Lepisosteus oculatus: one gene and its partners. The protein of the gene in region 2 interacts with the protein of the main gene of each other region in a biochemical or structural test. Links are inferred from orthologs where the notes say so. Each region holds a gene or a part of one and is shown on either strand. Other genes may lie near its edges. The genes, in order: prkn, ube2e1, rnf4 and rnf167.

Region 1 (7,052 bases), on a different chromosome or scaffold from region 2:
CTTAATTATGAAGTAGTACATACAGTAGCCTTAAAGGTGTGTTGAATCAAAAACAAAAACAGCAGAACTACCTGTACTGAATCCATATCACTGTCGATTGAACATAAAACAATTGAGATTAGTTATGGCACAAGGTTGGAAATTGTCACTAAACATAACTAGATTGCAATTATTATTTATGTTGAGAACTCTCCAATAATGTAAGATAGAATTTCATTAGCCAGAGCTCCCCAGTGAGTCATATTTGCCAACACATGTCCAGAGTGGAATGGAGATGAACAGTTGGCAGAGCTGCTCAAAGAAGTCCTTTAAACTTACGAAATTTTAATGTTCGCCTGGGAGCAATTTACAGGTTCAAGTGTCCATATTTGCTGAAAAATACTGCTGCATAAATAATGCCTAATGTACTGCACTTATATTTTTTCAGTGCTGTTCACTTTAAATTCAGCACTAAAAGAACACTGAAACTCTATCACTACAGAAAGATCAAAGATATCTGCATCTTAGGGAATGCTTTATACTGTCCATTACATACTCTGAGCTTTTGAATAATGTGCAAATATGCTTATCTAATATTGGGCAAAAAAGTAGCAGAGGGTGGCATGAAGCAGTTACATGAAAGTATCATCCTCACTTGTAATGTTTTAAACAAGGATGAGCTTCCATAGAGAAAACAACCTTTACACTTCCTAGTAGACTAAGCATGTTGTTCATGTCACTGAACCCTATTCTTTAAAAAGTCTATGCTTTGTCTAATCTCTTGGCTCAAAAAACAAAAAATGATTTTCAGTTTTCACAACTTTATTTGAGCATGATTGAAACAGACCCTGCAAACAGCTCAAAAAACATTTGGAAATCCAGAACAGAATGTTACCTTCCTTAACCTTTTCCGAACAAGGTTAAAAAAAAAAACTTAGAATGTTCTTTTATTGTAGAATTATTGGAACCTGAAAGCTTGGAACTAAGTACAGTGTTGACCCCTGGGAGAGAGGGGGGTAAATATTATAATCTGTCATTTTACTCATTAATATGTAAATTGAATCATGTTTAGTCAATCATCTAACCCTGTAACTTTGGTTGTAATATGCCACATCACATTTGAAGAGATGCAGAAAACATTACATTGATGCATTTTCAATTTGAATATTAATGAAGTTTACAGCATCTACCAGCCCCAATGCTTTAAATAGTCTACATGTTTAAAAAGCTGCACATAAATCTCTCTAGAAAGACTAATAGAAAAAACAACATAATTATGTAAATTAACTCTTTATACCCAAGACTTTTTGCATTTATCCTAAAATCATTACACACCCAGGGTGGCAGCAGGTCCTCATTTTATTTTTGCCAAGATTCCTTTTGCTTAAAAAAAAGAAAATCACTGTTGAACACACAAAGACCATGAGCACATGACTGGACTGTTATCTCAAAACTGGTTTAGGACTCACTGGATATCCAGTACTGATGGAAAGCACACATTTGTAGGGTATGAAAAACTGCATTCTAAAAGTATTTACTTGCCAACCGTCAATGCTTAACGCATTAAGCTTCCACAAGACAGAAACAGAAAATCTAAATGAGGCAGGGCTTCTATGATGTGCATCTAGAAATAATGCTACTGCATATGAATTTTATGTTTGAATTTGTATGAATCTAAAATTAAACAATAAAACATTATAAATGAAAAAATAGAACTATTTTTCATACCCTTACTTCCTTGCTAGTGTACAGTATGTAGGGCTAAATACTGTATTTTGAAGCAACTTATTTACAACTGCGAACATACAGACATATAGGGTTTAGTATAGGATTACTATACTAAAGTATAGTAAAGACATATAGGGTTTATCAGAGTTGGAATCTTGAGCATTTTGATGTACAGTAAAACGGCACGAAGCTGCTAGAATTTCCAAATACACTGTAAGCAGGAACTGAGAGCCAAAACACACAGGTAGTGTCAATCAATGTATAGTTCACATAATAAGGTGCTGGATCACCACATGAAACCAGTATGGCCTGTATGCATCATCACATAGAGTGTACACCATCTGGAGTTCTGCAGCAGGCATGGAGCACCATTCTTCCATGAGAAAGCCTGGCTGATGGAAGTGAAAAAATGCTCTGGAAAAATCCAAAATATCTCATAAATGCTCATTTGTGTTTACAGTATTTCTGGTGAGTGAGAAGGCCATGACATACTTCATACTGTAACACACATCAGTGTACAGCTGATTAAACTATTGGGAGACCACACATGCTCAGTAGATGTGGACATTGCCATCAGGTAGATGCCCCCCATGAAAAAAAAATGCTACATGGGGTGAAGACGATCACTATTAAGTAGCCAATAACATCTACCTTGCCTTCGAAAGGAACAAATACACCCAGACCATCACAGGAATATTATTATAGCCCCACAATATTATAGAACCACCAGAATCCTTTACTGTTGGAACAAAAAGCTCTACAATCCTTGAGTGCTTGAGGTTGTCGAGAACATGAAGGATAATTCCTCTAACCATATCACATCTCTCCACTGCTCAGCAGTCCATTGCCTGTGCTCTTTGTACCACTGGACGTGCCAGGAGTGAGGAGTGGTTCCTGCACTGCAATCCACCTCTGTACAGTGTACCACTTTGAGGAGCTCTTACAGACCACCTTTGATTAAACTGGATGCTTGCACCCCAGGTTGGCATTTGCAGTCAGATCACCTGCTGCGTAATTGCTTGGCTTCGTTTGCCCTGCACTCTGAATTTAAGCATGGATATCATGATTATAGTTTGTGCTTCCACTTACTGTTGCGAAATCTCAACCAGTTGAGCCGTCTTGGTCACCGAAGCTCCTGCTGTACTCACCTCAACAAACACACCTCTTTCAAAGTCACTGTGCTCTCACAGCCAGAATTCCAGAAACCAGGCCCTCCTGTTTTTATGCATGCCTCTAAGCGTGCTGGGATGCTAGCTGCTTAATTAAAGCATGACCAGAACTGAGTGGGAGACCTTGCTTTCAATATCCATAGTGTTCCCCCTTTGCTGGGTATTTCCATTGTTTCTGTCCAATACCTGTATATTGCAGTTTGTCATTTTGAAGTCCTCCATAACACCTGGAGAGTTAGCAAACTGTTCTAATTTGCACCAAATCGGGTGTCGTGTAATTTGGTCAATTGTTCTCATATACTGAGTTTTACAGACATACCTGGAAATACTAAAGTTAAACAGAACACAAGACGCATTATAAAATACCACCGGCGCCCTTCCTTAAATTACCGCTAGAATTGATCTTCGACTAGCTCGACAGCAAAACGTCTGCTACGATAGCAGGAATCTGTTAAGCACATGCAATCATTTTCAATCATTACAATAATGTATGAATGATTACAGGGAAACTGTACTCACTCGCCAAACTGCCGAAGCAAAAGCAACTTATCCCGAAAAAGCACAACCAAATGAAAAAGTCCCTTCTCTGTTATAAGGCGAGATTTTACATGTGATTACCAAATACACAAATTTTACTTAGAAAAACGAAAAAAAGTTCCAGGCTATAAAAAACGGCACCATACATTTTTAATTATAACAAAGAGATCTCTGGTTACGTACAGTTAGAACTGGACTGGCAGCGATGCACTCGCTCGCACCGTTTTCAGGGTCCTTTCTAAGTTTTAGTTCTAAGGTTAGCAGTAAAAAAATAAATTCGTGAAATAAGACGACCAAACCGTCAACTCTTGTTTAATGACCTGAATTCTTCGTTTTGTGCAGAGACTGACCTACCCAATTAAATAAGCACTCGGTCACAACCAGAAGAAGCATGCTATAAAATACATAAAACTCAGTAGTTGCTTTCAAATAGTAGTAGCAGAAATCATGACAGCAATAATAAATTACGTTTGTATCTTGTAAATCGTTGCACGAAAACGTTGAAACAGAAACGGAAAAAAAGGGCACTACATTTCCCAACATGCTTCAGGGACCATTACACGTGCGCTGATGCAGTGTGACCTGGGATGTCGTAGGCCATAGCCTTAAATACAAACAGAGACGTGTGCGTAGACTGTCAGTGTCACATTGTCAGAGACTGCGTCTCTTCAGCATGATAGGTATGTGACTCTGGTGATACTGTGTGACGTGTCTCTCTTGATTTCTCTTTTTCTTTCGAAATAAGAAAAAGTGCATCTAACCTGTAATTCAGCTTGACGACGGGAGATGGTAAATAGTGGCTTGCAGTTCATGATCCCAGCTATAGAAATCAGACGCTTAAACGGGGAATAGTCCCCTCAACTCCGCATTCTAATCTTAAAACTATACTATTATTCTGAAGAAAATGTATAGTGCATGACACCATTGCATAATTAATGCTGCTTTTCATTTCCCACTCCGTTGTTTATTACTTTTTTGTTTAAATTGGTTGCTTATCTACAAATAAGCCACGAGATACCTATTAAATCCTGAGACATTTCACGCAGCTTTTGACAGAGGTTAGTTGAGGGTATCACGTGATCTCTCGGTGGCTCTTTTTTTCTGTGCACTTCTCATTATTAGCAGGTGTTGTGAATCGATAGGATAATGAGCGTTTTTAATTACGTGCTATTGCTATTGCACATAACTAGGTACGTAGGGGAAAGTATATAGCTTTAAATTCCCCATACATTCTTGTCATTCTGTACAAAAGACGCAATGAAAAAGATTCAGTGCACAATATTTATGTAGTGCCTCTTAATCCCAGTTTTAGAGAGACTGTGAGAATTCTTAAAATCTGAGGCAGTGATATGATTAGTCATCAAATTGCAATTTGAACATTATTAAAATACTTATAAGCATCTGCAGAGTGTTTCCCTTGTAGGAACAGTGTTAATTTCATTATGAAGGCTGTAGCTGGCATTGGGGTTACTGCAGCATGGAGCCAAGAGTCTGACATTGTGGATGAGCCCTTGCTTTTTAAACAAGGTGGCAGTTCTGACACTGAAAGGTGTTGAGGAGAACACCGATCGAGGTAATATATCCCACCATCTGTTTTCGAGCTGCTTCTTCCAGTTCAGGGTAGCTGGAGCCTAACTAGACAAGCAAGGGGCGCAAGGCAGGGTACACTCTGGACGGGACGCCAGTCCATTGCAGGGCAGACACACAGGCACGCACGCAGTCACACCAGGGCTAATATTCTCAAAATATACACATGTATTTTTGGACTGTGGGAGGAAACCGGTGCAAACTGGAGGAAACCCACACGAACGCAGAGAGAACATACGATCCCTGCACAGAAAGTTTGGAATTCAACCCCAAAACCCAGCACTGCAAGGCAGCAATACTAACCACTGCGGCACTGGGCCACCCTGAGCTCATAAACAACATATTCAAAATCTTGAAAGCAAGCTTCTGGCCAGGCAAGGCCTGTAAAAAGTGTTGACCCAGAGTTCTGAATTAAGCCAAAGAGACACAGCTGTACCATTTTCCTGTCGAATGTACCCATTTCTTTTTCTATATCAAAATCTCAAGGTTAACTTGATTCAATCTCCTTGAACCGTGAAATTCGTTAGCAGAACTGTAGCAGGTCTTTATGTGAAGTCAAAACACTTCATATCTTGTGTTGTTTCCAGAACCAGTAACTTTAATAGAAACTTTATTCTAAACAGAACAATAATAAAAAAAAAAACAATTTTTCATGGGATTGGAAAAAGAGCTTGTTCAGCATTTCAGACAGGATACTCCTTTTTTAAATGGCTAAAGGGGAAATACAATATTTGATGGATTTTAGTTTTTTTTAGGATGATATTGAAGCACTAGTGTTAGGGCAGACAAACTGTTTAGCCAAGTGGAATTTTCTGTGCTGTTTATATCTTTGTCTGTTTGGCTTAATCTCATGTCAAATCTTTAGTTAAATATAGCTCTTTATGTTTAAGATATGCTTCCAGTACAGCTGGAAACCTGGAATTTCATCAACATTCTGTATTTTGCATCTCTAGAATCTCTGGAAGACCTATCACATTTATTTTAGGTACATTAGGCCAATAGTAATAATATAATTAGTAGCAGTTGTCTGAACTAAGAATATTCTATGTGATGTGAGATGTGAGACTGTATTTTCTGTACATTTTATTGTGACTTACAGTATAAAATCAGACAAAATGTTTTTTAGAGTTTCTAAAAATCCTAATAGAAGAATTCCTAAAATTTCTGACGTCAAGTACTGTATAAAACCTTTACCACCATAGTTTCAGAAAAGTAAAAAACAAATCTAGATTTTTAATTAGTTAATTGCAAATCACTTGCCCTGAAGCTTGGAGTGTAATTCAGTACATTACCTTTTTTATACAACATCTAAAAGTAAGATTTTCCCAAAGATGTTCCTTAAACTCTGAGATTGAGCCATACTGCAGTATTTATATACTGTATGTATAATCCTAGTCTCTAATAAAACGACAAGTTTATCCCCTTGCATTGAAAACTTGTAGTTTTGTGAGAGTGTGGCTCACATTAGCTGAATGTTTCCATGTTTATTTATAGCTTTCAGTGATCTAAAGCTCTACTGATTGGAGCTGTGTGAATAGTGGGCAGTATAACTAGGAGCTCATTATCAGTGTGTAACCCCAGCCACGTATTGTCAGACAAGCAAGTAATAATAAAAACCTAACCAGAGCTCCAGAGTTACAGTTTGGTTAAATTGTTCCATCAATGTGCGTGCAGGCATGTTCATCTGAGAGAACAATTGTCGATATTGTTGTGGCTTTGACAGGCTATGGCTATCTACAGTACCACTGTACCACTTGGAAGAATGAGCCAAGGTACTAACATAAGTGTGGCAATTGAGAAGGAGGATAGGGAACTGGGAAAGGGCTGCATGTTACCAGTGTCTGAACTTAGGTGGACATATTGAAGAGGCAATTCTGCTCTTTACCACATATTAGTGTCGTGGTTTTTAAAGACCCCGGGGGATGTTGCTTGTTACAAAAAGGCACTCCGGTAACATATTGATTTCCCTTATTAGTCAATCAACCACCGATTCATATTCAGTAACTCCTTTATCCTTAAAGGAGTTAGGTGAACCAGAGTCTGACCCAGCAA
Region 2 (7,369 bases):
CCTGGTGAAGCAGAACTGGTGAACAGCTCAGATGGTCCAAATGGCTTCCTTTCATTTGTGAATCTCCTGCTCTTAAGAAATTTCTGTCTTCCACACCTGATCTGCAATGTATTGGAGCTGGTGATGCAAAAAAAGCTACACCTCTATCTCGGTTATGAGTAGAGGATGAAGTGGGACCCTGGTTATAAAGGAAAGTGCTCTGGGATCCTTTAAGCTGAAAAGTAATATATAAATGCAACTCATTATTGTTACCAACTGCCTGAATGAAGACAGCTTTTTAAGAATTGTTATAGGTACACAATCAATCACTGACCAATGACAAGCAAGGTTTCCAGCATAAAAACACTCTAAAATCTTACACAGAACTAGCATACTAATAATTAAAAAAACAATTCACTGAATCAATCCCAAAACAAACAGTCCCTATGGGAATAAGGGTGTTGAAAAGGTTTAGTGAAATGTCCTCAAAGTTATTTGGAAAACATACTTTAAATATAATGTATTAGTGGATATATTAAACTGTTAAACAACTGCACAAAATAAAGAGACAATACACATTTGAAAGTGTATTTTGCACAGGTGCATCTTTCTCATTATAAGTTTAAAGAAACAGCTTTACGTGACTGTGTAAGATGAATGCAAACGCCATCAAAAATAAAATCACTGCTATTTCCGTTCATGTAAAGTCTATTTCTCTTTTGCCCCTGCTGAGCCAAAAGAAACCTTTATACTGTGCAATGACACAAGGAGGGGGAAAATCCCGACCCCTTCTCCCATTCCTCTGCATTGCACAGAGGGAATCCGATTTCTTTTTAACAGCTCACCTCTTAGGGAACAAAAAACCGGTGTGGTCCTTTCTAAATTATTTAGATGACTACGAGGATCTCGCACAGTATCTCTGATTATGCCTTAACGGTCTCTTGCCAGAACACAAAAAGGATGCAGCACAATACTGAATAATCTCCCGAGTCGTACCAGGCGATTGCTGTCGGCCGACACAAATTCACAGCCAAGCTCTGCGCCTTTAAGGAAGCACTCTTGATAGGGAAATCCTAACCGTAATAATAAAATAACCAAACCCGGGTACCTGCAGTTCGGAGGAGGGTCCAGAGTGATATCTGCCAGCTCCTTCTGGATTCTGAAGGAAACAGAAACCACTCGTTAGTCTCGATCAGTCGGTACCGAAGGAATCAGTGATTTACATCGCACGCAGGCACAGCTGCTGACCTCTGCCTGCGAAACAAACATGGCCGCTCCCAGCAGCTCCTACTCACCAATATTTTAAAGATGAAATAACCCACTTCTGGACTGATTTCGCGGGTGGCCCTCACCTGGAGCCAAAATACCTTCGCCTTACAAGCAGCTACCGAAGGAATTTCGCCAATCCCCCCCTCCTAATTTTCGCAATAAACTGCTTAAGCTAATATGCAAATGAGCTGGTTCCCCATTGAAACAGAATAGCTGAGCTTGTTGTGAGATCTCTTAAAGGAGACACGCCTGAGGAAGCGTCGGTTGCATGGGAGAAAGTGTTATTTCAGCATGAGCCTGAATTTAAATAATCATATTTAAAAAAATACGAAGTAAAACCCACTCATTCTCAAAGAAGGGGTGGTTTTCTTCGGGCTGGGAAGCTATCAGGACTAAGAACTGGTGGATGAGCTTCCAAATACATCTTAATACGAAGTTGGTTCGTATGACGCTACTGCAGTCCTCCCAAGGAAAAAAAAAATGTGTTTAACCTGAAAACTAGATCGCACACAGCCAAGGGTTGCTAATATCACACTAAGCGTTAACTCTTTCTGTCCCGATACAATGGCTGTCCGACCGGTGATAACTGGCATTGCTCAGCCCTCAACCGATTCCCCCTTTACCTCTTTGCGCTCGTAGAAAGCAGTTTGGAGGTTTTGCTCATACTGGCTTTGCTCTCCTTCTTCTTGCTGGTTGTTTCTTTCTCCTTCTGATGTTGAGCGGAGGACGAGGAAGACGACGACGATGAGCTAGTACTGGCCCTCGAATCCTCATCCGACATACCGGCCGCACGGAACGGAAAAAAAAAACCCAACCTGGAAAGGCGAGCAGAGGGAATCGAGGGTTAGCTTCCGAAATAAATGCATACCAAATAAGACTGGTAGACGACACGCCTGTGGCATGTGGGTTTACCCCCAAGATCAGCCTCTTTGCACCTTCTCACGGTCGCCACTCCTAAAGACTGCGTGTGAAGTTGTGCAGCCAGGGCAAAACACCCCCCTAAACTCCGATTTTCTGAAGTCAAGGGAACTTACTTTCTGTCCGAGACTAATGTGCCAAACAACTGTCCTGAACTCCTCCGTTCCTCCCAACGCCTTGTGCTCCTCTCCCAAACAACACACTTCGCCGGAGTGGGAATGAATATTTACCTGCACCCCAGCAATTCAGAGACAGCCAGCTCACAGCTGGGAACTGGGTACAGCTCCGCACAGCTAATGAAAGATAAATAGATAGATATATATCCGTACTCTCATGTATCTGGCTACCCCAACGTCGCATCCATTCTGGAAATGTTTGACTTGCTTTTCAGTCCCCAAGACCCCATATAGTTGATCAAACTTCACACCCCGAAAAACAACTAACCAAAGCCTAAAATCTCAAACGGGTTTCATCCAACTGATCAATTTAACCTCTGGTCTTCCTTGCGGGGGTATATCAGCAGTGTCTCCTTTTTTTTTTCTCTCTCCTCTCAACATTGCAACCGATCTGTCTATTCAGCTCCACTCGTCGCTCGGATCCTTTTCTTCATTCTGCTTTTTCCGACAGGTTAATATCCTCGTTAACCTCGCAAAAACTTCTACAGGCGGCCCCCTGTCGATGCCAGAGACCTACCGGGGGCCGTTAAGGAGAGTATTTACTGGCATTAAAGAATATTTTCGTCTTTTAAACGGTACCTCTCTTTGTGTCTGTGACTCCGCTGCCTGGGCTCGTGTCTCTCCCCTCTCGCGGAGCGGAAGTGCTGCTGCAGCAGCAGCTATTAAACAGGCAATGGCTTCTATTCTATCGGACTCGCTCGCAAATGATAATGTCAAGGAAAAACACGGGGTGGGGGAGTCTGGATGTGAACCGAGATCTGAGTATTCACATGGCCACAATTGTTTATTTTTTTTTTCTAAACCCCTTCCTGTACCTAAAGCATACTCGAATACACGTATATCACCATTTCGTGTCAACATTGATATCCACAGTTAATGTACGTGTTACTTTCTTAGAATGTGTGTTTTAAAAAGGGATGGGCAAGAGAATCAGCATTTGTTAAATAATTGATACAAAGCTGCATATCACTCATAGTGTTGTGAATAATTCAAAGCCAAAGAATTTGTATTTCTTCTCATGTAAGCAACCTCAACAAATCATTCTGATGTGCTTGTTGGTCTTGGCAATTCTCCGGACAAAATTAATAGCATGCGCTGTGTAGGGAGGTTTATTTATTTTTTTTACATTTTCAAAGTTTTGTGGCAAAGCAACTCTATGAAAATTATTTTAAGGAAATCCCCCGTTTGGACACTACTACGTTAAACTGAAACGAGATATTTTATGTCATGGAAGAACTAACCAGCGGTGTAATTCTTCCTGCGTAACAGAAAAGCAGAAGACAACATATGACAGTACCACTTTACCACCTCCCTCCCCCCGGTTATTCCTTATAATATTAGTATTACTTTACAGGTTGTGGGACGTGACAGTTTTGACCTCGTCTCCACATACTTGTCTCAGATTAGTTTGCAAGACAACGCTGGGTTATTCCATCCCTTATTACAGGGGTCTCAAACTCAATTCCTGGAGGGACTCGTGTCTTCTGAGTTTTTTTTCACCCACGTTCTCGATGACATTGTTGGTGTGATTTAACTAGGTGCTGAATTCTAATATTTCTAACCAGGCTCTAAGATGATTATTGTTAACTGGACCTTAAATGAAGTGAATGTCTTGTTTATCAACTATAGAAGACCTCAATAACATTTACATAAATGTCTAATTTAGAGAACTGAGTATGAGACCCTGTTTTTAATTCTAACCTCGCTATTCATTGCTGTGATTCCAAAATAAAATACGTTTTTTTTTTACTTTTAAATGTTCTCTTCACAATACAAAAACAAATCTGTCCTGAGTTTAGAACAAGCAAGACCACTTTATTTTGCCATACACTAGTATTGCTATACTGATGTCTTGAATGACAAAACCCTCCCCAATTATGTCAGTTCCTGGAGGGTCTAGTGTCTTCTCATTTTTTTATTCTAATTTGAGCACCGATTACACAACATTTTGTTTTAATTTTACATATTTAGAGTTTAAAAAAATCTTTTACAGTTGATTACTAAAACAGTTGTTTCATTTACATTTCATGTTTTACTTACTGTTACTTAGAAAACACCTCAGAGCCAGGAGCAAAGTATAAAAATTGTGCTGTTAATGAAATAATCTGACCAATTGGTATAAATGAGAGCATGAGTAGAAAAAAAAAACATCAGGCCCTACAGGAAATGAGTCTGAAACCTCTTCACCAAAACATTCAGTCATAAGACCTAGACAAGGGGTGTGGAATTTTATTCCATGGCTGCTCTTAATCATACGTTTTACTGCACCAAATTTAACAATTTTCAAAGATCTTCAACTGTTGATGATGTTGATTTCTAAAGAATGAGAAACCCTGCTGCACCCTGCCCCTTGAGTCCTTGATTTGTCTGCCTATAACCCAGACATTAAGGTGACCAGGCCTTCCAGGTCTTGTTCATTCAAATAGTGTTAAAAAAAGGGCGCTTCTACGACTAGACAAAACACAGTACCCACCTACGCTTCTGGATAGCCTTCTTGACAGAGGGTCATTAAGAAGGAAGCAGAACAGTTTGCAGATCAAACCGTTTTTTAAAAGTTATAGAACTGTCAGTTGTTTTTCTATTCCTATTACTGTATACTAATGTTTGAGGATCCACAGTCCTGCAGAAGTGTTCTAAATACATTAATTATCGGTAAGATGCTTATTCACGGTAATAGTTGTAGCACACCTGAGCCTGTCTGAGAAGCACAGGAACGCAAGACAAGGCTATACTATGGATTTTTAAAGCCTGGCAACACCTTAACAGAAAAAAAATGAGAGAACCAAAAAAAAAAACCCAGGATTTTCTTTTTACCAAACAGGCTATATGCGTCACAATCTGTAATTGGGATTACTAAACTAGTCAAACTCAACAAACTTCTGTATTTTTACAAATATCACGGTGTGCTGAGTAATTGTGGGTGGATCGTTGCCTTATCAGGGCCTGTCTTGTGGAGACGTTCATGTTACATAATACATCTGGTGAGGGAATACAGGAAGAGGGGGGTCGTATCATCCCAGTCTGTCCTGGGCAGGAGTGGGCACCCAGATGGAACAGTAGATTGGGTAATGGACTGGAGCTCTGTAGGAGCAGTGAAAGACGGAGAGTCAACATGTTGACAAATTTCAGCTGTGAGCAAGATGGGCATTCATATCATGGTTTTTAAAATGAAATTCTAAAATGTAAAGATATCACAGAAACAAATAAAACATACTGTACTTTGTAGCTCCCGGAAATAGATTAAAAAAAACCTTTACTGGTTTTAAACACTGTAAGAGGAAGTTGGTTTGAAGTTAAGAAACTGTATTTGTATACTCTTTGCAAATATCTAATTGAAGGGACAGAAATGTGTAAACACATCTAGACAGAAATTAATATGAAGAAACTATTGTAAAATGCTTCAAGATCCCTTGGGATGAAAAGCAGTATATAAATAGAAACAACAATTATTCATTAATCTTGTCTGGTAGAACTCAGTAAAAATCAGGGTTCCTCCAGTCTACAAATTCCCCAGAATCTTTCAGCATCAGTTGAATCTGAGAAATCATATACTGTACTTGAGAGAGTTTCTGTTTTTTCTTCTGTCAAACTATTAAATGGCCAACAGCCATATCACCCTGCAACTCACAACTGGCCACTGAAGCTAAGCAGGTGTGAGCCTGGTCAGTACCTGGCTGGGAGACCTCCTGGGAAAAACTAAGGTTGCTGCTGGAAGAGGTGTCAGTGGGGCCAGCAGGGGGTGCTCGCCCTATGGTCCATGTGGGTCCTAATGCCCCAGTATAGTGACGGGGACACTATACTGTAAACAGGCGCCGTCCTCCGGATGAGACTTAAAACCGAGGTCCTGACTCTCTGTGGTCATTAAAACTCCCGGGGTGTTTCTCGAAAAGAGTAGGGGTGTAACCCCGGCGTCCTGGCCAAATTTCCCATCGGCCTTTATCAATCATGGCCTCCTAATAATCCCCCTCTATGAATTGGCTTCATTACTTTGTTCTCGAACCCCCCCTTTCCATTCCGACGGCAGGTGGAGCGACGCGCCGGTTGGAATATTTCTTGGTCGCAGTTAATGGCAACGTCTGCTCAAAGATTTGGTTCAAACCACCAAACGGAGACTGCTGTGCCAACAAGCGGACCCTTCTGATGCGGGATTAACACTAGGAAAGAGAGAAACTATTAAAGCACTGGACTGGCAAATCCAGGTTGTAGGTCATTGTTGGATACTGTACCAAAGAGTTTTTTTCTTCCCTAAAGGAGTCCAGCCTATCTGGAAAAAGAGCTAAGAGCTGAGCTTTCAGTTGTTAAAGCATGCATACTTCAGCTATGACATTTTACACAGTGCACGAGAAATAAAAGTAGGAATTAATCCTTGAAACCCTTTGAGTGTTCAAAACCTATTCACGGGAATATCTATTGAAGCAGAGTGCCTTCAAATAGGTCACAACAACACTGTCAAAACTGTTATTTTTGTTTTTCAGTCGTGTGTTTTGGAGCTGTGATCAAGAGATTAATTTGAATGATAAGTACAATATATTGTAAGTTTTATTTTGAAGTAGGCCTCATTCCAAGCATACATTCGAACATATTAAAACAAAACAATACCTTGGTTTACTGCAGTGATTTTAACTGAAGGTGCTGCAACACATTCACAAGTCATACAAATACAAGTCAGTATTTTGTTGCATATTTCTTTGAGACAATAACAGCCTTCTGAGGTCAACAAACCCTATGTGTAATTATTTTGAGATCATTTGCTCCTCTTAATTGGAGTTATCTTTTCTTGGGGTGTTTTGACTTTTTTATTTAGCATGTAATCTAGACTGCTGCTTGTATCTGCCAAACCCTGACAAAATAAAAAACAAAACAAAATGTAATGCTATTTTTGCAATGCAATGTAAATCTGAGTGAAACAAAAGTTTTTAGATTCTTATACATAGAAGTGTTTAAAAATGGTCCAAAATTCCTGGCTGGGCTTGTTAAATAATGTTGTGATGAAGCATTTATGTAAAGCTTTTAGGAAAAAGTAACAG
Region 3 (6,847 bases), on a different chromosome or scaffold from region 2:
AACGTGCAGGTCTCAAGCCCTGGAATGTACCTGGCCTCTTTTCTCTGGATTACAGAGCAGCAACGTCTTTGTACTAGTAAGACCTCATTTAGAATAGTGTCTGTGATTTTAGTCTACACATGATAGAAATGTACAATTTTCACATAAGGAACCAGTAAAGGTTTATTCCCTGCTGAAAAGAGCAGAAAGGAAACACAATGTTTCAGCTGGGGAGCCTTCTTCGGGTATGTAGGCTCCATGGGTTAAACCAAAACATTGTGTTTCCTCTCTTCTCTTTTCAGCTGGAATAAACCTCTTACTTGTTCCTTTGCAGCCTACACATGCCAACGCCTCCACCTACTTGAACTTTCTTAACACAATGTCCTTTGATTTAAATTCAACCCTTTTAATATATGTCCTTATATTTTGTTTGCCTTTTTAAAATTGCTTCACCACGTGGTCTATATGTAAAAGATGTGTCAACATAAACACCTAAATCTTTTTTTGTAGCATCTTATAGCTCAGTGTTTCAAGTTTTTTATTAATAGTATGTGCTTTGTTTTAATAGTATATGATTTTACTAGGAACAATAGGTTTATTCTATGCTGAAAAGAGAAATAAGAAAACACAACGTTTCAGCCGTGGACCCTTCTTCAGGTGTGACTACTTGCATATAAAACCCTGCACAATTCTTCATTAAATATCATCTGTCAGGTGTTTGCCCAGTCTTTACAGATTAGTGTTTACTAATCATTCCCTTGTGGTACTCTCTGCGAAGCTGACTAATTCACTACACACAGCAGTATCTGGATCATTGGTATAAATGGGGAAGATCAGTGACACTAGCACAGGTCCCTGTGGTACACCGCCTCAGTTTGAGCATTCACTGTTTATCTTTATACTCTCTTCTATATGAACAAATTCTCCATCCAATCACAGATGTTTCCCTGAATCCTATTACCTGTAATTCAACAATAAATATTTTATGAGAAACCTTATCAGGATCCTTCTGAAAATCGAAATACCCCATGGTGTATGCTCTGTGAGAGTTCATTGTCGCTTCTTCAAAGAACTCTAACGAGTTGGTTAAGCAAGATCCACCTTTTCTTAATCCATGTGAACTATTCCCTAGGATGTCATTTCCATATAGCTGATCCTGTACTTTAGTTCCAATTGCTGTTTCCATAACCTCACACAGGCAAGGCAGTAGACATCAGACATTGGCCTATAATAATAAAAAGGTAACAGTGTAAAACAAAGCAAAGCAATATATTGTTATAACAAAGCAACATATTGTTACAAAGCAAACTGTGAAATGGGCCCTGTACCCTTAACAAATGTTGACATTTTCTCATGAAGCTGCAGAATTGGACTGGCGCACTCTGAGTCAAGTCCCTCTGGGATGGAACAGGATAAGGACTGGACAGTAGAAAGCTGTGCAGCAGGTTCAGGAGTCACAAACCCTGCTGTAGCGTGTTTGTGTGTGGTGTAGAATGTGTGGAGTTAATTAAATCTCAACTTCCTCCTCTAACAAGGGGGTCCTAGCTAAAGGCTGATTCAGAGCTTTATACCGGATAATGGGTGCAAAAACAATATTCACCTTGTTACATAGCCCATTCAAACTAAGAAATGCACCGTATAATCCATCCATGTGTTAATTTCCAGTACCAGCTTTAGGCTTTGAGGTGGAGTCTAACCCTGCTGAAACTGGGTGTAACGTGGGATACACCCTCGAGGGAACACCAGTCTATTATAGGGCATGCCCATGGGGGGGCTATTCAGAGTTGCCAATTACTCTGGGGGAAAAGGAGCACCCAGAGAAAGTGCTGAAGGACATGGGGAACTCCGCATGGAACCAGCCCAGAACCGGACCTGGGACCCTCGAGCTCAGAGGGAGGTGTATGACACAGGCTGCGTATGACACAACGGGCCGGGGTGCACAGCAGTCACACAGCTTTTCCATCACTCGTCTGTGCAGGAGCAGCACTGGCCTCTGCAGGTGTTTCCAATGGACTGTTCCTACTTATTCTCAGCCACTGGCATGTGTAATCTGCGGGTTTAAAATAAGCAATCGGACATTTGTAATTTAATTGCTTGTGCTCGTGCTTTTTAATGCCCTGAGTCACCGTGTCACCATGTAAGATCTTTCTGCATCGGGAGATTTCAGCTTGTGGTAGCATGGCTGAGAGGATCTTTACACATGAACTCCACACCAAACCCTGCTGTTCTGTTACAGTCTTGGTGGGTTCCTGGCTTTATTTCAACTACAGTCTGAGCAACAAAACAAAAACCCTACCTCATACACGAACAAAGACATTATTCCTTTTCACTGGAAACAAAACTAGAAATCTTCCCTCTGTCCACTGCCCTGAAAGCAGACACTTCTCGTGAACACTTCAGCTGTGGCAGTGGCTTCCTCAGATCCAAAGAAGCTGCACCTTGGAGAAAGGAGCATTAATCTTCCAGAAGGTGATTTTATTCTCCCGGTAGGTTTGCGAGGTCAGGAACGGTTGTAGTATGATTTATTCCATCCATTTTCTAGCCGCCTTGTCCAATCCAGAGTCACGGGGCAGCTGGAGCCTATCCCAGCAAGCAATGGGCACAAGGCAGGGTACATCCTGAATGGGTCGCCAGTCCACCGCAGGGCAAACGCCCCCACACACTCACACCAGGGCCAGTTTTTCTAGAAGCCAGTTCACCTACCAGTCCAGCTTCATACGGTGGGGAGGGAACCAGAGCTTCCAGAGGAAATCCACACGAACACGAGAAGAACATGCTGTAACGCTACAGGGGTTCAGGGGGGCGCCCTTGCTGCATTAGGTCGGCCCCCCACCATCGCGGGCTCTAACCCAGGACTTCCGCGTCACTCAACAGGGACCCAGCCCGGTGAGCCAAAGAGAGATCTCTCCCCAGCCCAGTAGCTGTAGTCCTGCTATCACAGGGAAGGGCGGTGACGTCACCTGCTCTGGTAAGCCGGCTCTTACACAGTACCTGTCGGCCGTAAGCGTTACAATGCAAACGCCTTGCGGATGGCACTCCAGGAATCGATCACGGAGCCCCAGCGCCACTGTGCTGCCCCTTGAGTTATTCCCATTGTCACTGCCTCTATTACTCCAGACATCCCAGAGTTCCTTCAGGAAGCACGTGGAACAGGACTACACCTAGCACATAGTGCCAGTCCATCACAGGGCAGACACACATGGCACAGAGACCCCAATTACCTTAACTGGGTGCAGCTCTGCCCTGCGATGATTCCACCATGGCTACTGGAAGGGGACACTGCGCCCCCCCATGACAGTGGTGAACCCCAGCTGCCTGCTGTGGGAGAGTTCTACACCATCTGGGTTTCAGGGGGGCGACGTCTATCGTCACCCGAACAATAATAAAAAAATCTAAAACAGCCGCGGCTGCTTATGTACGCCTTTCTGCGTCATTTTACAAAAGGCTATACATTCTAACGGATGTTTTTACTATTCGTTACCATTATCTCGTAACCCAGTCAAGCGAAGTCAGTCTTTCCAGTTATACTCCTCCTTGATTTCCTTTCCCTCGTACCATGCTCGTTAGTGTCCTAAGCTTTTGCGAGTTCAAAGCAGGTGTTCGGTCCGTACAGATGTTTTAACCATATAACCGAAAACGCACTCAGGTGAAAGTTTTCCTCGCTGCTATTTTTCCAATTTACCTACTCCAGCGGACGTCATTAAGAAGCCTTAAGGAACTACACCGCGTCACTCATTTCCTGTTGTGAAAACTACAAATACCAGAGTGCGCCCGGATGTACGTCATATTCCCTTGAACAAAGCTCCCGCCTACCGATTGGCTCGTTACTCTCTGTCTGACCAATCACAACGCCGCCTGGGTTAACGGATCTGCTGCCGAGGTTACTTCCGACTCGAGGAGGAGCTGGATGATCGGAGTGGAGAAAAGAAATTGAAGGGGATTTTGGTTTATTTTTCCTCAGTGCATTCGTAGTAATTCTTATTGTTTCATTTCTTTCATATTTAAGGTGCGCTTCGCCAGATAGAAGCGTTGCAGTAAAGCTGTCGATAACCCTGATTTCTTCCTGACTGCTGCTGTCCGAGTATTTTCGTGGTAGGTTTCGGTTATTTGGCTAGTTTTTTTAATCGGCTTTTGTTAATTTTACCACACACCATAGCCCTGGCTTTAGTGCTAATATGGGTAATATGGTAATATGGATAGTATTTACAGCTAAAATAATTGTTATAATGCCGTTAAAAGCATTTTGAGCACCATTTCATGTTGGAGGTTATGTAACAGTACAGCGGAGTTGGTGTACCAACACCTATTTCAGAAACTCCTCTACAAAGCATCAACATCTAATTATTTAATCCACGATGGTATAAAGCACTTGGCTGTTGTCACCCATTCATTTTCTCGACCATTTTGATCATTTCTCGAGCTATGATTTGTGTCTTTATCGGTCCTTAACAAAAGAGGATTGCTGCTGCTGTTAAACAGAAGTTGAAGAGCTTTGGTAATCTCTGCGAATTGCTGCCAACCGGATCGAAGGCCTCAGTGGGCATTAGTCATATAGATGCCATATTTGTTTTCGAATCCCGTGTATAATCTAACTATTTTGTCTAATAAAAGATACAAGATCTGTATTTAAGGGAGATATGCGTTAGTTAGGAGCTTTATATCAATAAAGCGGTATTCTTTCGGTTTGGACTAGTCAGATTACATAGTCTGTTTTCAAATGTGGTGTTGGCACAGGTGTTAATGCCTCTTGTATTGCGACTTAACTTCCACGTTAGCTGAACGTCTCTTGTTAGCGCCAGCAGCATATCACCCTGCAGCTCCCAGCTGGCAGCCCACTGAAGCTCAGCAGGTGTGAGCCTGGCCAGTACCTGGATGAGAGAACTCCAGGGGAAAAACTAAGGTTAATTAATAATAATAGTTCCTTACACTTATATAGCGCTTTTCTGGACACTCCACTCAAAGCGCTTTACAGGTCATGGGGATCCCCTCCACCACCAATGTGCAGCCCCACCTGGATGATGCCATAGTGCACCAGTACACTCACCACACATCAGCTCTCAGTGAGGAGGAGAGCAGAGGTTGCTGCTGGAAGAGGTGTTAGTGGGGCCAGCAGGGGGCGCTCACCTGATTCAACTCTCAATGGGAGTAATAGTAATAGGAGTAGTTTGAATGGTTTCATTGCTTTCAGTTTGACAGCTGCCCTTTAACTACTGCATTTCCTAAGTAAAATTCCTAACTTATGAGAAGGAAAAGAAACCTGAGATTGTGCCAGTGGAGCGGCTTGTTAGTCCTGTTAAGGTGTCAGCAAGGTGATTAACCTCCGCTGGAATGACAACCAGGAGGCGTGCGCACCTCCAGGATCGGGATCCGTTGGTTTACAGTAGGTGGTGTTTTTTAAACCACAGCACCCACCATGACTGTAGTAGGGTTTCTTCCTTGCTTTGCTTTTTCCAGGTTGGTATGATGGACTAGTTCATCACCACCACTTCGGCAGCAACGCGATTTTCTTTAAAAACATTCTCCCATCCTAGTGTCTGCTCAGGAACCTGTGAGCTGTGACACGTTCAGGTTTAAGGGTGGTTAAGGGGGTGTGCTGGTGGAAGGCAGTTATGGGCATCTTGGTCTTTAGTTGTACTCATCGTTGCATGAGGTGAGTCAGTCAGGAAATACTTGCTAAAGCTCGGTAAAGCACGTTGTGCTGTTAACCGCTTCTGCAGACTGTGTTCCCCAGTGTCTCACAAGATAGGAGGTAAAAACCGTGAACGACTGAAATATTTGAGGAAACTGCCTGGTAGTTCTGTAGGTGGTGTCTTTTACCTTTTGGGGTTTTAGTTTGTCAAATTGCTGGATTGTAATATTATAATGATAAATTCTTGCTAGTTGTTGGGGGTTATGTTCTTTAAAGTCCCCATGAACCACAAATCCATGAAGATATGTTATGGTTTGGTACCTCAACTCCGAACTGTCTTCTTGCCCTTTGCTTGCAATAATGATCGGTCGTTATACTTACTAAGTTAATTTGTCCAATATATTCAATATATTAGGATGGGGTTTTCAAAAGACCTAGAAATAAAGCCATAAATGTAGCTTAGTTTGCCCAAATGAAATAGTATGCTTTGGGATGCCTAATTCATTGATGTGTTTTCCACCTCCATCAATTAAGCATGATTTGATTTACTTTCTCCTGGAAGAATGGTGCTGCATCTCTCCTGCAGAGTTCCAGAGGCTGATAGACTCTGTCCACTCACTTGATGACTTTGGTGTTTTCATTTATCTGCTATCTGTATCTGAAGCCGACTCATTGATTCATTATTAGTGCCCAACTCTTCGCTCTTGTTAATTTGTCCGGTCAATCCGCATTTATGGACAAGATGTAAGACCAGTCTCTGCCTTTTTTCACCAAGCTTTTCTTTCAGATGGCATTGGTACTCAATACTGTAAATAAACACCTGCTAAAGAAATGCATAGCACTGTATTGTTATAAGAGTGGAGTTAGTGGAGCAGAGAAAAACATGCGTGATGTCTGCATGTACTGATTGAGCCTGCTGCATTTTGAGGTCTTCATGCACTCTGTGGGCTCGCAGACCCTTGCTTATAGTTGAGCTTGTGTGTCGAGAGAGGAATACCTAAGGATGGAACGGCATTAATATTTCCATAACAGACGCCTTTATCCGGTTCCAGTGTGTGCAGTATTATTATAAGGGTTATTCTCATGTACACAAGCTGTAAATCTCCTCCAGCTGTTTTCTTCACCTTTTGTTTCTCGCTTGGCTTATGCCTGACCCTGCCTCAGTTTGTACAGATACTTCTGCTTGAACCTTTTCAGACATTGGCTTACTCTGTTAAAATCCAGCCTCCACTTCTTTTT
Region 4 (6,884 bases), on a different chromosome or scaffold from region 2:
CATCTATCCCCAGGCAAGAGGAGACCGGATATTTTGGTCATCAATGGTATTTTAAGCCACACTATCATGATCTAAGCCCACTCATCCAGACTTGATCTCCGCAAGCCAGAGTGCTATATGAAGTCCCCCTCCAACACCACCTCCACAGGCATTTCCCCTCCTCACCATGCCAGAGGACAGGTCCTGGCCCTCAGTGGAGAGCACAGTGCGCTCGCTCCTGTCCTCGGACCCAACCAGCGTGATGAAGACCCGGTCGAAGGTGCCGGAGTGCACCATGTCACCTGTGGTCACGGTCACCTTGTACGTTTCCATCCTGCTGCTGCTGAAAGACCTCAGCGACAAGAGCATTAATCCCCCCCATCTGTGAGCTTTTATTAAAGGGTCCCACTTAGAACTCACCCTCCACCACTCTCTGTGTAAAGCATCTCTCTTCCCCATATAAACAAGCCTTTCTAACCTCAAACGGCTTCCTCAGCCACAGAATCTGATGCTAGCATTGGAAAGAAGAATGTTGTCTTTTACACAGAGGGCTGCAGGAGTCCAGGGCATGGGGTATCATTCATTGTTGTAGGGGCTTACAATAAAATGAATGAAAATAAACATTTCAAAGGAAGAGTCACTCAAGCCCATGCCCTCCCAGGATCATAGGTGAAGAAGGCATCTATCAGTCTAGATCAGCCCATCCACTAGCACACCTGCAGAAGCTCAGGGGCAGCCAGCCAGCAGAGGAGCTGTGAGCATCGCATCGCTGGCACACGAGCACCTGTACAGACTTAGACACAGAGAGCTCAAAAGTAACCAAGGAGAACGTAAGCATACCCACCTACAGTTCATCCACCCCCACCACAAAGCTGGAGGCCAGCAGCTTCCCTACAAACCAAACCACAACACAAACAAACTGAAAAACCTGCTCTCAATCTGCTTTATAAATGTGCTTCACCCGCCCAGCTGTGTCAGACCCACCTGGACCCAATTAGCACCTGATTGTGCCCGTGATGTCATCATTCCCACGCTGACCTGTAGACAAACAGCCCTAATGAGGATCTAAGTGCAATTATCTCACAGGGAAGTGGGGGATTGAAGCTGACCTCTTGCATGCTGTTATGACTCAACGAGCTGACCAGGCATTATGTATGATGTATTTACCTTGTAATTTGGACCATCTGCACTTTGCACTATGTTTATCCTGTCTACAATGTCTTTGTCAGTGTCCTGTCTGCCTGTATTTTCACCTTGGACGAGGAGGAACGATATTTCCTTCCACTGTGTACTTGTATACAGCTGGAGTAAATAAGCGTGAACGTGAGGCACTCACGAGGGGGTCGAGGAGCCTTCTTCAGCTGTGTCACGTTGTGTCTCTTTTGCTTGGAATAACAGGTTTGCCTGTTCCTTTGCAGCCCATGCATACTTACGCATCTCCCTCCTCCAACTTTTGTGTGTGTGTATGCATGCATGCATGCGCGCGCGTGCATATATGTCCACGTGTGTTTATGTGTGTGCATCTGTGCAAGGGTGTTTATGTGCTCATGTAGCTGTGAGTGTGTATGTGTGCACGACTCAGACACAACACTGAGCTCGGAAGGGAGTGAGCACCAGCCAGCGTGGCTGACTCAGGTCAGATGGGCAGCAGGCCAGGTGGACACAGGAAAGGACAGAGAGAACTGCTGACCACAAGGTCAGACTGAAACCAGTTAACCCAGGACACAGACCGCAAAGACCTGGTTCACCCCAAGACAGCAGATGCAATAATTAGAACAAGAATCAGATCTCTAGCCCAGTTTTATTGAGGGCAGCGAGTCCAGCGGCCAGCAGGGGGCAGTGCAGCTGAGCTGGCAGCTCCTGCCAGAAGTGCTCCAACTGTTTCAGTGGTGCTTCCTGGTCCTCCTCCTCCTCCTCCTCTGGCGCTTCACACTGGACCTCCTGACTCGCCTCCTCCTGCGCACTGGACGGGACGCTCGTCTTCGCCTCTTGGCCATGTCTGCGGTCTGCCCGAGAGGCGGCGCTGTGCCCTTTTTAAAGCCTCCGGGAACAGGCGCTGGGCGGGTGCCGGCTACGTCTCGCGTGAGATCACGGGGCCGCCCCTGTTACCTGACGATGACGTCACCGCGCGTGGCCTTCACGAGTTTTTCAGGGATTGACACGCGCTAAACGCACAGCACCAAAGGCAATTTATTTACCAAATTGAATACAATTTGTTTTCATAGAGAACATTAACAAGAATGAAAAATACTAATAAATAATAAGGAATTCGTTTTTTATTATCCGCTCGTTTTCCAACTGATTTATCCAACACTGTGGCGCACATTATTATTATTATTATTATTATTATTATTATTATTATTATTATTATTGTTGTTGTTGTTGTTATTATTATTAGCCTTTATTTGTCGTATGTACATATACATTAGAATTCTTATTCGCGCCGATCTCTCGGCACATGCTCGGTCCAGCAGATGGCACAGTACGACAGACAACTGTAGTACAGCCGTGTGCGTGGACAGTACATTACAAAACGGTACAGAATAGTTATAGTATGTACGGACTATCAACAGAGCAATAACTACAAACAGAGCAAAAGTCTCTCGTTTGACAGAACTGTCTCGCCTGTAGCTCTATTAGTAGTACTAGTTCTATTAAAAAGAGCCCCGATATGAGGAGTTTTTCCAAGCACAGTAAAATAACCCAGCACGTTGCGCCACAATGTTAGATGCGGAAAGGCGAACGGACTCTCTCTGCCCGCTTGCCGGGGTGGGGGTATCTGTTCAAGGACCGCTCCGAGATGTTCCTCTTTCCTTTTGGTCTTGTTTGGAGATCTGGCGAGTCCGTGAATAAACACATCATGCCAGGAAAGGCTATTTCGTTTTGTACAGGTCAGGGCTTCAAGGCTCTTCTGCAGCGTTGTCCGGTGCTTGTAATGCGAGAATCTCGCCACTAGAGGTCGCGGAAAACCGATCTCTTCAGATCGATAACAATACCGTAATGGAGCAAAACACCTCGACCAGCCTGGATTGTTTCACACTCGTACATCACTACTGCCATGTCTCTGTACGCCTTCCGCAGGGTATGGATAAATCAGTACTTCAGGGAGGAGAGCCGTAGGCTCGTGAAAAGACCCCCCCTCCTCCGCCTGGTCCTGATATCTGGCCCCCGTGTGTGCGAGAGCAGCACAGCTGTAGTGGACAGCACGCGTCTGGGGATCCCCGCAGGAAGAGCTGTCCACAGAGCCAGAGGGGCAGGCGGGCGCTCCGAAATAACAGCTTATTATTTCACTGAGACACGCAGCCCCCGCGGAGGCTGAGCACGCAAGTAACTTAGACAAATGAGCCAGGTCTGACGCACCATATTGATCGCACTTAGTAGGTCGCCGAATATCACGGTTAGCGACAGCCAGGCGATGGCAGATGCGATCTACTGATCGATGATATATTGGGCAAATGCCTGTAACCAAGGCGATTTACAACCACCCGCTCGTTAGTAAATAAACAAAGCCGTATGAAAAACAGAAACCCAGTACCATAATATACTTTCGCCCATTTTGACGGTGAGGCTAAATCTGTTTTAATATAGCTGCTCTGTCTTTCTGGAGGGTATGAGTCCAACACAGAGACACGGAAAGGGGGAATTTAGGACAGACACTGGTAGCTGAACTTGCGTGTTTTTAAGGCAGTGGAGCGGAGTCCACACGGGGAGACCATGCAAACTCCCCACCCACGGCCACTCAAGATCAGAAATGAAACGGGGAGCAATGTCAGCCTCTGTCTGCTGGATCAGCGCGAGAGAGCGCGAGGGGGGGTGATTGCCGACCGATCTGTCTACGGGTCCACGCGGGGTGAGGGGGCGGAAGTGATCTCCATTCTCACCGGCTTCCCCCGAAAGGGTTAACGGGCGTCCAGATAACGCGAGGCCCGGGATGTGGGCGCCTCCATCTTGGATTAGGCCAGGAAATCCAGACACAGAGATCCGTCGCCTGTAGCTACGGCCCTGCTAGCTAGCTAACGAGCGAAACAGAGATGGGGGGGATGTGAAATCTTACGTAAACACACATCGTACTTTCACACAGGAAAGGCTATTTTCCGAAACAAGCACGCACGGCAGACAACTGGAAGTTTTTTCCCCGCAAAAACCTTCAAAATAATACGGGAAAAGCGAGACCGAAACAGATTTGTCGACTTCAAACGACTCGACGACTGTAGTTGAAAGGTAAGATCCGAAACCGGAAGAAATGTATTTTTATGGTCAGCACAATTATTATTGTGGCGATGTGCACGGACTGCTCTGTCGAATGTTTTAATTCTGGTTGCACACAAAAAAACAACAACTCTTCAGTCTTGAAGGTGCGGTACTTTATTTTAGTCCCTGCAAAACGAAAAAAGTAACACTCTTAACTTAGGTAGCTAGATCATTGACTTAATATTAATTTTTAACATTATTTTGAACGCTCTGGGTAGCCTGCCTATGTGTGATGCATACCACTGCGCAATCGACTGGCCGTGTTGAGCAAAAGGGTTATCAAAAAGTAAACAGGCTAGGGGCTTTTTAAAAGTGGGTTTTCCGGTTCTGGACAAGATTAGAGACTTTGTTTACACCGCGGTTTGATGTAGGAGCCGTGCGAATGCATGTTAGCTGATAAGGTAAAGCCAGCTATTTGTGTAAAATGTGACTTATTGTTCACATTTTGTCCTAGCAGCTCGGTTGCGAGAAGTTGATAAGGGGGTGACTGTTCTTGTGTTTGTTTTTCTAACTGTGACACAGGGCACATTCTAGAAGAACATAAAGTGTCCGACGAGAGCAGCGCCGTTCGGTTAGTCCTGATCGTTTGGTTTTCTGAACAGCCACCCGGGTCCGCGGTGATCACTGGAAGTCTGGCTTCTGTCACTGTAGGGTCTTTGCTGTTAGTGACATTATTACAGTCCAGGTCACTGTGGGGTCCTTATTGTTGGTGACATTATTACAGTCCAGGTCACTGTGGGGTCCTTATTGTAGGTGACATTATTACAGTCCAGGTCACTGTGGGGTCCTTATTGTAGGTGACATTATTACAGTCCAGGTCACTGTGGGGTCCTTATTGTAGGTGACATTATTACATTACGGGTCACTGTGGGGTCTTTACTGTTAGTAATATCACAGCCCGGGGCACTGTGGGGTCTTTGCTGATAGTATTATAATTATAGTACAGGTCACTGTGAGGTCTTTACTGTTAGTATAATTATCATGGTATAAGTCAGATAAAGCTAACAACATCCAAAATGTGTTGTGTTGGCCCTGTGTTCAAAGATGCATCAGGTTGTCAGTGTTGTGATCATAAAATGTCAGTGTTGTGATCATAAAGATGCTTGGATGTGGTGTGCACTAGACAGGAGTGAATGAACTGAGAGAAACGCTGCGTGTGAAGAGTTTGTGAGCGATCACTAACTCTGGAGTAAACTTTAACAGTGAATTCTGGGATTCGGCTTTGATTCTGAGTGGAGAAGGGTTAACTGCAGTGTCCCTGGACGCACGGTGGACAGGTGGGATCAGTAGCCCTGATCATGGGGCAGGCCATCCCTTGGCCAGTCTCCTTTCTGTAACAGCACAGGCAGCAGTGCTCTGCAGATGGCGAATGGGAGGTGCTTCTTTACACCAAGTGTGGTGGGTGTCTGGAACAGGCTGGGCTGTTCAAGCAGGTTCCTGGCAGAGCCAAAGTGGCCTCTTCTCGCCTGCGGCCTTCCGTGTGTTTTCGTGTTGGGGGGGGAAACAGGTCTAGCAGGGCTGCACCCTGATCTTCCTCCTGTGGTAAAGAGACACCGGCAGGAGAATTAGGTGCCAGATTTGTCTGAAAGGTATTTATACAGCAGTTGCCTCAGGACATGTATTAACAGAGTACTTTCACAGTGTGAAAGTGTGTTAGAGACCGGAAACCTCTGTCCCATCAAGCCACCCATTGACTCGAGAGCTGAGTGAACCCACGGCACCCCAGCTTTTACACATGGGCTCCCAGTCATGGTCCTGTAGGACCCCACACACACCTGCTGGTTTTCATTCCAGCTAAATTGTAACCTTAATTGTGCTGACAAGTTGGTAGATGGGAACACTTGCAAGTTTTTTGAAGGGTTGCTCACAGAATTCATGGGTGAATAGGTGACTTCCAATATATTTTAGAGCTGAAAACGGAGGAACAGTTCGAATCAGTACTTTTATTTATTCAGTCAAGGGGTCGATTGTGTCACGGAGAGCTCAGCTGTGATTAGACCCAGTGTGTGGACCTCCAGAACCAGGACTGGGATCCGCCGCAGGTCCAGGAAGCTGGAATTCTGTGTCTTCTGATTAATGAGGTCTGCTGTCACTTGGAATGGGTCTGCTCCCGTGTGCCGGCACTACACGCCCTTCTGGGCACTCTTGGGAATCTGCCCTGATGCCTCCGAAGCTCCTCGGATCCTCACTGGCAAGGTGGTTTGTCAACATCCAGAAGGATGACGGCAGATCCAGGACGCATGTCCGACTGGGGAAGGAACTGGGCGTTCAGACAGCGTGCAGTGGGCGCAGCTCTGATGGTGTGATCAGGGCAGCTGCGGTGGCGTCCCAGTCAAAGTCCGAGCCGGTGCAGAACTGATGGGGAAGGAGCTCTGGGGACCCCGACTCCCCCGAGGGAGCCCTAGAGTCGAAGGGACGGGGCACGGAGAGGGCGAGGCGCCAGGCCCAGGCCCTGCTGCTGTGGGCCTTTCCTTCCGTCTCGGCGAGCTTCTGTGTTTTGAAAGTCACCATGAAGTACGTAACGTCATGTGAAGTGTCAAAGTGAAATTCCTGGGACTCTTTCGCTTCCAGTAAGTGACCTTGTGAAAGAGGAAGGGCTCAGTGCACTCTGGGCTCGAGGCCAGCTGCAGCCAGACATGTTACGCTCTGACTCT

The links.
Region 1: the proteins of ube2e1 (region 2) and prkn form a complex in vitro, tested with the Homo sapiens proteins (2 studies listed by BioGRID). The link is inferred for Lepisosteus oculatus from reciprocal best matches to the Homo sapiens genes UBE2E1 and PRKN.
Region 3: the proteins of ube2e1 (region 2) and rnf4 form a complex in vitro, tested with the Homo sapiens proteins (2 studies listed by BioGRID, with this or other methods). The link is inferred for Lepisosteus oculatus from reciprocal best matches to the Homo sapiens genes UBE2E1 and RNF4.
Region 4: the proteins of ube2e1 (region 2) and rnf167 form a complex in vitro, tested with the Homo sapiens proteins (3 studies listed by BioGRID). The link is inferred for Lepisosteus oculatus from reciprocal best matches to the Homo sapiens genes UBE2E1 and RNF167.

What each region holds. Positions count from the first base shown.
Region 1 is NC_090712.1:15,389,937-15,396,988, reverse strand, and holds the start of prkn (E3 ubiquitin-protein ligase parkin), read left to right. Parts: upstream 1-4,048; 5' UTR 4,049-4,086; coding exon of another isoform or gene 4,087-4,093; intron 4,094-4,118; exon of another isoform or gene 4,119-4,861; 5' UTR 4,862-4,916; coding exon 4,917-4,986; intron 4,987-7,052. UniProt on the Homo sapiens protein: Functions within a multiprotein E3 ubiquitin ligase complex, catalyzing the covalent attachment of ubiquitin moieties onto substrate proteins. Substrates include SYT11 and VDAC1.
Region 2 is NC_090705.1:30,783,255-30,790,623, reverse strand, and holds the start of ube2e1 (ubiquitin-conjugating enzyme E2 E1), read right to left. Parts: upstream 3,028-7,369; 5' UTR 2,922-3,027; intron 2,383-2,921; exon of another isoform or gene 2,283-2,382; intron 2,064-2,282; 5' UTR 2,030-2,063; coding exon 1,872-2,029; intron 1,139-1,871; coding exon 1,088-1,138; intron 1-1,087. UniProt on the Homo sapiens protein: Accepts ubiquitin from the E1 complex and catalyzes its covalent attachment to other proteins. Catalyzes the covalent attachment of ISG15 to other proteins. Mediates the selective degradation of short-lived and abnormal proteins.
Region 3 is NC_090696.1:6,256,927-6,263,773, reverse strand, and holds the start of rnf4 (E3 ubiquitin-protein ligase RNF4), read left to right. Parts: upstream 1-3,834; 5' UTR 3,835-4,071; intron 4,072-6,847. UniProt on the Homo sapiens protein: E3 ubiquitin-protein ligase which binds polysumoylated chains covalently attached to proteins and mediates 'Lys-6'-, 'Lys-11'-, 'Lys-48'- and 'Lys-63'-linked polyubiquitination of those substrates and their subsequent targeting to the proteasome for degradation.
Region 4 is NC_090698.1:10,554,042-10,560,925, forward strand, and holds the start of rnf167 (E3 ubiquitin-protein ligase RNF167), read left to right. Parts: upstream 1-3,865; 5' UTR 3,866-4,200; intron 4,201-4,311; exon of another isoform or gene 4,312-4,334; intron 4,335-6,884. Other genes in the region: polyunsaturated fatty acid lipoxygenase ALOX15B-like, read right to left, coding at 166-438.